2 linked regions of the Cricetulus griseus genome follow. The protein of the gene in region 2 interacts with the protein of the main gene of each other region in a pairwise test. Links are inferred from orthologs where the notes say so. Each region holds a gene or a part of one and is shown on either strand. Other genes may lie near its edges.

Region 1 (3,654 bases), on a different chromosome or scaffold from region 2:
TACTTGGCCACTGTGGATGTTGACCCGAATTCTCCCCAGTATAGCCAGGTGAGGTGAATTTTGGTCACTGGCATCCCTGAGACTCCCACCACAGCCCTGGTTCCCTAACTCCACCCTCCTTTGTCCCCCTCTTATGACAATGGAAGCTCTTCACTGTAGGGGGTGCTGAGCGGAAACCCTGCCCTGTGCTGAGATGCCCAGCCAAAAATGAGTCTATAGAGGTATGGCCTGGGCAAGCAGCACTTCCTGCCCCTCTCCACCCTAGGTCATCCATAGGCTGCCCATGCCCTACCTGAAGGATGAGCTGCATCACTCGGGATGGAACACTTGCAGCAGCTGCTTTGGGGACAGCACCAAGTCGCGCAACAAGCTCATGCTACCCAGTCTCGTGTCCTCCCGCCTCTATGTGGTGGACGTGGGCTCTGATCCTCGAGCCCCGAAGTTGCACAAGGCAAGTCCTCTGTCCTTGTGGCTGGAGAGCCTCACACATGCTGGCCCCACTGCCCCTAGACCAGCTACCTCCAGCTCTCACACAGGGTCTGGCTCAGCAGCAGGGAGGGAGGGCAGACTTCAGAAGTTACCTTGGTCTGCTGGGCTGGCAGCATCCAGAAGCATGGGCTGGGTGCCAGAAGAAGTGGCTTTTTCTTGAGGGGCAGGAGAGCCAGGTTTCCCCACACAGTTAGGAAATCATGTCTTCCCCCAGGCAGCAGCTCCAGGCCTTCCTCTCAACTCCATTGGACACGCTCCCTGTGCACCAGATGCTCACAGCTGGCTGCTGAGGGTGCAGAGCCAACACTAGCATGGGAGGGGCCCCAGGAGCTGGGAGTGCCTTCAGGAAAGATGGGGGGAGTCCTCTGACTGAGGACTTATTGGTGGCTTCTCTGCCCTTCTCTTGCTGCTCCCCGAGTTACCAGACTGAATCCGTGCTGTCTTCTCTCCAAGAGAGGAAAAGAAGAAAGTTCCACAGATAAAACAGAAGAATGGGAGAAGGGAGTCTAGCGAGACCCCCAGCTCTGTAAAGTCTGACCCTACTCCTCACCTTTTCCAGGTCATTGAACCCAGTGAATTCCACACCAAGTGCAACCTGGGCAATCTGCACACCAGCCACTGCCTGGCCAGTGGAGAAGTGATGATCAGTGCCTTGGGCGATGCCCAGGGTAATGCCAAAGGTACCTGCTGGCACTGAGGACCCCCAAAACCTCAGCAGATAAGAAGTGTGAGAAACATCTGTCTGTGTGGGGAGCAATGGAGTGAGGAACCAGGGAGAACTGGGTGGCTCAGTCCTGTCCACCAGTATCTTAAATGTCAGCAAGTGACATCAGTTGGGCCTGGTGGTACAGGCTATAATTTCAGATACTCTCTAGGCTGTGGCAGAAAGATAACAAGTACAAGGCCTGCCTGGGAAACTTAGCAAGACCTTGTCTGAAAATAAAAATAAAAGGCTAGATATATACCCTAGTAATACAGTACTTGCCTGCTATCAGTGAAGTCCCAGGTTCAACTCCCAGTACAAGAACACATACACATACTTCACTCACAACACTCACAACACACAGACACACAAGATGACCTGGGACTGCTGAGTTTGCTAGAAGGCATAGTCAGGAGTCGGCTATAAAGATATGAACACGCACGTGAACCCAGGAAGAAAGAACATAATGTAATTCCAGCACCCTTGGCTTGGCTTTGTGCGTGTTGTGTGTGTGTGTGTGTGTGTGTGTGTGTGTGTGTGTGTGTGTTGTGTGTGTGTGTGTGTGTGAGTGTGTGTGTGTGTGTGTGTGTGTGTGTGTTTAAGTTTTTAAGAAAAATTTAGCTGAGCACAGTGATGGACACCTTGAATTATAGTACTTGGGAGGCAGAGGCAGGAGGATATCTGCAGGAGGCCAGCCTGGTTTACAGAGTGAGATCTTGAGCTACATAGATTCTGTCTCAAGAAAGACAGAAAAGGGAGGGGAGAAAGTAGGAGGAGAGGAAGGAAGGAGGGAGGGAGGGAGAAAAGGTATTGAGTACACAGCCAGGTATTGGTGGTGCACGCCTTTAAGCCCGACACTTGGGAGACAGAGGCAGGCCAGGTCTATCAAGCAAATTCCAGGACATCCAGGACTATTACACAGAGAAACCCTGTCTCAAAAAACAAAACAAAAAATGTATTGAGTACAGAAATGGCAGGTGGCTTACATGACTGGAGCTCCACTTGTAGCTGTCCAATAAAGCTTGGACTTTGAGTTAGAATCCCATGGTGGTTGTGGCAGCCTGGGCAAATGTTTATGGGGCTGAGTCCCAGAGCTCTCTGTTTAGGGGGAGCACATTTTCCCCAGAGCTCTAAACCAAAGATTACGTTTCTAGGAGGGAGAGCACAGAGTGAGGCCCTACCTCACCCCTGCTATCTCTGAAATGGGTGTTTGGGCATCTGAGCCTAAGGATCCGACCAGCTGGGTGAGAAAGACAGCCATGGCTCACGGCTTTTACCTAAGCCTCTTTCTTCCCTCTTTCTCAGGCGGTTTTGTGCTGCTGGATGGGGAGACCTTCGAGGTGAAAGGGACATGGGAGAAGCCTGGGGGTGCTGCTCCTATGGGCTATGACTTCTGGTACCAACCACGACACAATGTCATGATCAGCACTGAGTGGGCAGCTCCTAATGTCTTCAAAGACGGCTTTAACCCTGCTCACGTGGAGGCCGGTGAGAATCACCTTTGGGTTGGCAGGAGTCTTGGGCCACATCCCCTCCTTTTCAGTCCTCTGACCTACACCAGATCTGCAGGCCCTACTGGTAAAAGGCTAAGACATGCCTGGTGATCAGAGGGCTCAGACCTGTTCAGGAGTCCTCTGTGCCCATTCCTAACTCTCCATCCTAGTCAGTGCCCTGCCTCCGCCCATGCCCCCCCACCCAACCCGAGCCCAGCCTCTGGTGCCTACCCCCTCCCACCTCAGGGCTGTACGGGAGCCACTTGCATGTGTGGGACTGGCAACGTCATGAAATCATCCAGACCCTACAAATGAAGGATGGGCTCATCCCCCTGGAGGTCCGCTTCCTCCATGACCCAGCTGCCACCCAGGGCTTCGTAGGCTGCGCTCTCAGCTCCAACATCCAGCGCTTCTACAAGAATGAGGTAACTCCATGACTCCCCCTCACCCCTGCTCCTAGAAGAGTCTCATGAGGACATCCTCCTGGCTTCAGTGTCCACATGTGATGGTCTCACCAGCCTAAGGCTTCTTCAGGAAGAAATGCTGCTGCACAGCCTACCTGTCTCTTCGCTGTGCCAGGCTAATTTCCACCTTGCCCAAGTCTGTTCTCTGTTGCTGTAACTGAGCAACTGAGCATCACAAGCAGGACAGTTATAGGGAATAGAGGTTTAGTTAGCTCATGGGTCTGACATTACGCCATCCAGGTTGAGGAGTGGCATCTGGTGAAAGGCTTTCTTGTGGTTGGGAACTCTGCCTCCAGGGACATCACAGGGTGAGCCATGTGCAAACAAACTGGCTTTATAAACGACTCATTTTCAAGATAACCACAAATGCTCTACGTGAGCCCATCCTCCGTGAGCTCTGACTTAATTACTCTAAGGTCCCACCTAGTCCCCAGGTGGTGACATAAGTGTTTAATCCCAGCACTTGGGAGACAAAGGCAGGCGATGTCTTTGAAGTAGAGGCCTG
Region 2 (4,453 bases):
CCCTCCAGTTCCTGGTATGGCTCACTGTTCACCCACACAATTAGCAAGGCTCTTCCTGACGGTATTCTCTAGAGAAACTTCCCTGTTCTCTACCAGATACCTTTTCCTTCACATGAGCACAAGAGACCTTAGCTTTCCCCTTTGTTTCTGCCTCTTCACTACAGGGAGATCTTAGTCTTCTCCACTGTTATCGCTGACATGCTCTGACTAGTACCTAGCACACAGTAGGTACTCAGTAACCATCCTCTGTCAGCCTCACCCTTCAGGTCAGGTGCCAATGGCTTTCTTTTCACTTTCCCTTCTTAGCATATTTTTTATTAATTGACTTGCCTTTTTTTCCCCAACACCCCCTGACCTATTTAAAAAATAATAAAAGCCTGTATGTGGAGTACTGTGTATAAAAACTTAACATAGGAAAGCTTATTATGAAATACAAATAAAGGTCAATTAATAATCCATGAAAGATGATTCTTTGTTCTATTGGTTTCAAGCACTATATAATCAAGCCAGTGGTCATGAATTCATGACAAGTTTGGTCCTTCTTCGCAAATTTCAAGTGGTCAAACCATTCTAGAGGGACCTCAGGCTACGAAACTTACCTGGTGCAGAGACTCAAAGAGCCTCTTTGTCCATCATCAGCCGAGTATATACGCACCGCAAGTCTGAAGCCCTTCTGTGCTGGCTTCGAGTTAAATAGTACACTGGGTCAACAGCAGGGTGGTCTAAGGTGATGCAATCTCAATACATGTTGGCAGCACCCAGAAACCACAGCCTGTTTCTTACATTGATTTACAGGCTGTTTCCATGAAACCAAAGATGCTTGGCTCTCCTGGAAGCTGGCTGGCTGGCAAATGGAAACACTTCAGTGCTGGCTAAGGGCCATGGCCACTTCATCGGGTCATTTTGGCACTCTGGCGAGCTGTTTGCTTGTCCCTCCTGGCTGGGCTCTCTACACGGTGCACAGTCGTCTCCACCCGCAGGGATGACGACGCCCTGACGTGGCTGGAGGACGTCTCCGTGCACTGCGAGGAGGTTTCCACGTGCTGGGAGGATACCTCGAGGAATCTAGGGAGTCGCTTCGCGGAGGAGGTCAGGGAGGGTCCCTCTCGGTGGCGCTGAGAGGTCTCCACCTGACGAGAAGACGTTCGAACCTGCCGGGAGGACGTCTCCACGCGGTGGGATGACGTTTCCTCGCGGTGGGACGACGTCTCCACGCGGATAGTCGACGTTTCCTTTTGGCGGGTGCTTTCCACTCGCGGGGCGAAGGATTTACTCCTAAGGGGCGAGGCCATCCTGCTGGCACACCCAGGTCAGAAGGGACACAGAGGCCCAAGACTCATGCTCTGTGTCACGTCACACAAGGGACGGTGACGTCAGGGTGATGAGCTACGTCAGTGTAGGCTGCTGCGGGCCACATAGGATCTGCGAGCAACGAGCTCTTCCAGCACGCGCCGCTAGATAATTGCTCAGGCTGCCGGCCCAGACCACACAGATAGGCGGGGCCTCTCTCCTCAGAAGGAGGCTGTCTCCGCCCTCGCGTCCCACATGCCCCGCGACCGGAAATAAGAGCCGTGGCTTCCGGATCCTCCCTCACCATTTGAAGCCGCGGTTGGGTCGGGCTGGTTGTGTTCGCGTCTCTCTCCTCTCTGGTTATGGCCGCGGCCGTCGCTATGGAGACAGGTTCGTGGTGTCGTGCTCCTGGAGTCTTCACCGAGGGAACGGGTCCTCCCCCCTTCTCTCCGGTTTCCCCGCGCCGTCTTTCGGGCTTAACCCGGCATCCTTAAGGAGTTGGGATCGGTGGGGGAGAAGGCGGTGTTGTCTCTGATTGTGGCCTGTGTGAACGACATCTTTGCTCCTGGGCTGCTCACACCTCCACTCCCTGGCTCGCGGGCCGGGGTGGGACTGAGGGAGAGGACCGAGCCCTTCAATTGTCTGCTCTATGGAGCTTTTCCCGTGAACTTGCTTGAAATGTTTGTAACGTGTATGGTTCTGATACGGATTACCGTCTCCTCCCCGCTGTTTAATCATTTTGCATCTTGCTTCCTGCTTTTATTTAGCACTTTGTTTTTGTTTAACTTAATCACTGTTAGTAGTTGTGGTTGTAACGCTAACATTGGGGGTGGCACAGCTATTACAGACCAACCAGTGATCTCTGTTACCATCCTCCCATAGTGGCCTTAAATAGCCGTTTCGTTTATTTTTCTCAACTAACTTTAGGTAATTTATTATCTTTGTTTTGTTTTGAAGACAGGGTCTCACTATGTACTACTGCCTAGCCTGGAACTGGCTATGTATACCAGGCTGGCCTGGAATTCACAGAGATCCTCCTGCCTCCCCCTTACAAGAACTGGGATTAAAGGCATGCACCACTCGGCTTGTTTTGTTTTAAACCAGGCTCCACTCTGAGATTTCTAAGGAAATCTCTCCTGCAGTTTGGTATTTGTTTCATAAATTCATTCCTATGGGGGTGGGCGGTGCATGCCGAGGTCAGAGGACAACTTGCAGGAGTCTACTGTTCCTGCAACCCTGCGGGTTCCAGGGATGGAGCTCAGGTCATCAGACTTTTCTGTGAGCACCTTTACATGCTGAGCAGTCTCACTGGCAGTTTGTTTTTGTTTCTACAAATCATTGGTATCGTGACTTTTATTTTGGGTGTCTTTTACTTTTTTCTCCTAGATGATGCTGGAAATCGACTTCGGTTTCAGTTGGAGTTGGAATTTGTGCAATGTTTAGCCAACCCAAATTACCTTAATTGTAAGTCGAGTACATCATTAAGTTGAGTAGCTAGCTGTTAATGATTTCTGACAGAAGAGATGGAATTCATAATAGTATTTACTTCGGTATGTTTGAATGGGATTTTACTTTCGATGGTCTGTAGTTATTAACTGAGCAAACAAGGACTTGTGTTTTTTAATTCCTTGTGTTTTGATGGTAGGAATGTTAAAAGAGCTACTTTATTGTAGCGATTACAAGTCAGTAGTCCAGCAGTTGGTTGACATACAGATTGTTTCTTTATGCCTTTCAGTTCTTGCCCAAAGAGGTTACTTCAAAGACAAAGCTTTTGTAAATTATCTTAAGTACTTGCTTTACTGGAAAGAACCAGAATATGCCAAGTATCTAAAGTAAGTTTAATTTTTATAATCTTAAATCTGTGTATACTTTATTATAAATACGAAGTGCTTATATTTAGCAGTTTTCTCGGTGTCAGAATGGCAAACTATGTTTTGAATTTTTCTGCTTTTAGTTCATGTCATGTCATTGTCATTTCTAATTTGAATTGTTACAGTAATCTCACTTATTTCTGCTGTCATTCTTACCTCACTCCCTTCAAACCAAACAAAGCCAAACAGTTGTCTGTCAAAACCAATTTACTGTCTTAGTAGTATAAATCAGAACATGCCACTTCTATTCATGTAGGATAAAATCCAGTAACTAGTTTTAGAGTAAGACTCTGATTTGATTTGGTCTGTCTGAACTTGTCATTTAGCATTCCCCTTGTCTCTCTGGGTTTCTAATGCCTTCCAACCTATAAACTACTAAAATGTAGTGGTATAGCCATAAGCTGAAAATGAACATATAAGAAGTGGTGTTTTCTGGGAGTCTTAGACTTACTGTCTTCTTTATAGTTTCCTATGTGTCAAGTACTGTGCTAAATGTATCGTGCACATTAACTCACTGTAAACAAAAGAAAGACAAACATGAACACTGTCAAGTTGTTTGATAGACAATTGTGAGAAACATCACAACTACACAGCTATCCCTTTGAATGGTAAAACAAAACCTTGAACTCACCCCTCTGCTTTGTCTTAATTAAAAAAGAAAAACAAGCTGGTACACACCTTTAATCCCAGCATTTGAGAGGTAGAGGTGGAGGTGGATAGATCTCTGAGTTCAAGGCCAGCCTGGTGTACAAAGCTACTTCCAGGACAGCTAGGGCTACACAGGTAAACCCTGTCTTGAACTCCCCCTCCCCTAAAAGGGTGGACAACAACAACAACAACAAACCCAGAAATTTTAGCCTGATGCCCCTTTAATCCCTGCTCTCAGGAAGATCCGGCAGATCCCGGTGAGTTTTAGGCCAGCTTAGTTATGTAGCAAGTTTCAGGCCAGTCAAGGCTACATAGACCCTATCTTAAAAATTAGAGGGAAACATTTCAAGCCTTTTCTTTATATCCTAGTCACTTTTCTGAATTGATCCTGGACTGCCTGTAGAACAGATTGCACCGGATTTGCTCTTTATGATGCAATTATTGATTCCTTTAGGAATCTGAAGGAGAGACTTTTAAGTTATTAGGCTGTTATAACAGTGCTAGCAGATTTACAGACTGGGTATTAAAAGCCTTAGTCACCTTCAATTCAAGTTCAGTCTTACCAGCAGAATTGTTGGATGATAACTAACTATACTCTGGTTGGAGGCCTCCAGCGAACATATGTCACTCTATTAGAGGAAGCT

Evidence for each region. The genes of interacting proteins can lie anywhere in the genome.
Region 1: the proteins of Med31 (region 2) and Selenbp1 interact in a two-hybrid assay, tested with the Homo sapiens proteins (2 studies listed by BioGRID and IntAct). The link is inferred for Cricetulus griseus from reciprocal best matches to the Homo sapiens genes MED31 and SELENBP1.

Annotation. Positions count from the first base shown.
Region 1 is NW_023276806.1:61,568,365-61,572,018, reverse strand, and holds part of Selenbp1 (methanethiol oxidase), read left to right. Parts: coding exon 1-48; intron 49-265; coding exon 266-451; intron 452-1,048; coding exon 1,049-1,169; intron 1,170-2,497; coding exon 2,498-2,680; intron 2,681-2,931; coding exon 2,932-3,110; intron 3,111-3,654. UniProt on the Homo sapiens protein: Catalyzes the oxidation of methanethiol, an organosulfur compound known to be produced in substantial amounts by gut bacteria. Selenium-binding protein which may be involved in the sensing of reactive xenobiotics in the cytoplasm.
Region 2 is NC_048600.1:86,054,390-86,058,842, reverse strand, and holds the start of Med31 (mediator of RNA polymerase II transcription subunit 31), read left to right. Parts: upstream 1-1,510; 5' UTR 1,511-1,652; coding exon 1,653-1,680; intron 1,681-2,676; coding exon 2,677-2,754; intron 2,755-3,025; coding exon 3,026-3,122; intron 3,123-4,453. Other genes in the region: uncharacterized protein C17orf100 homolog, read right to left, coding at 891-1,292. UniProt on the Homo sapiens protein: Component of the Mediator complex, a coactivator involved in the regulated transcription of nearly all RNA polymerase II-dependent genes.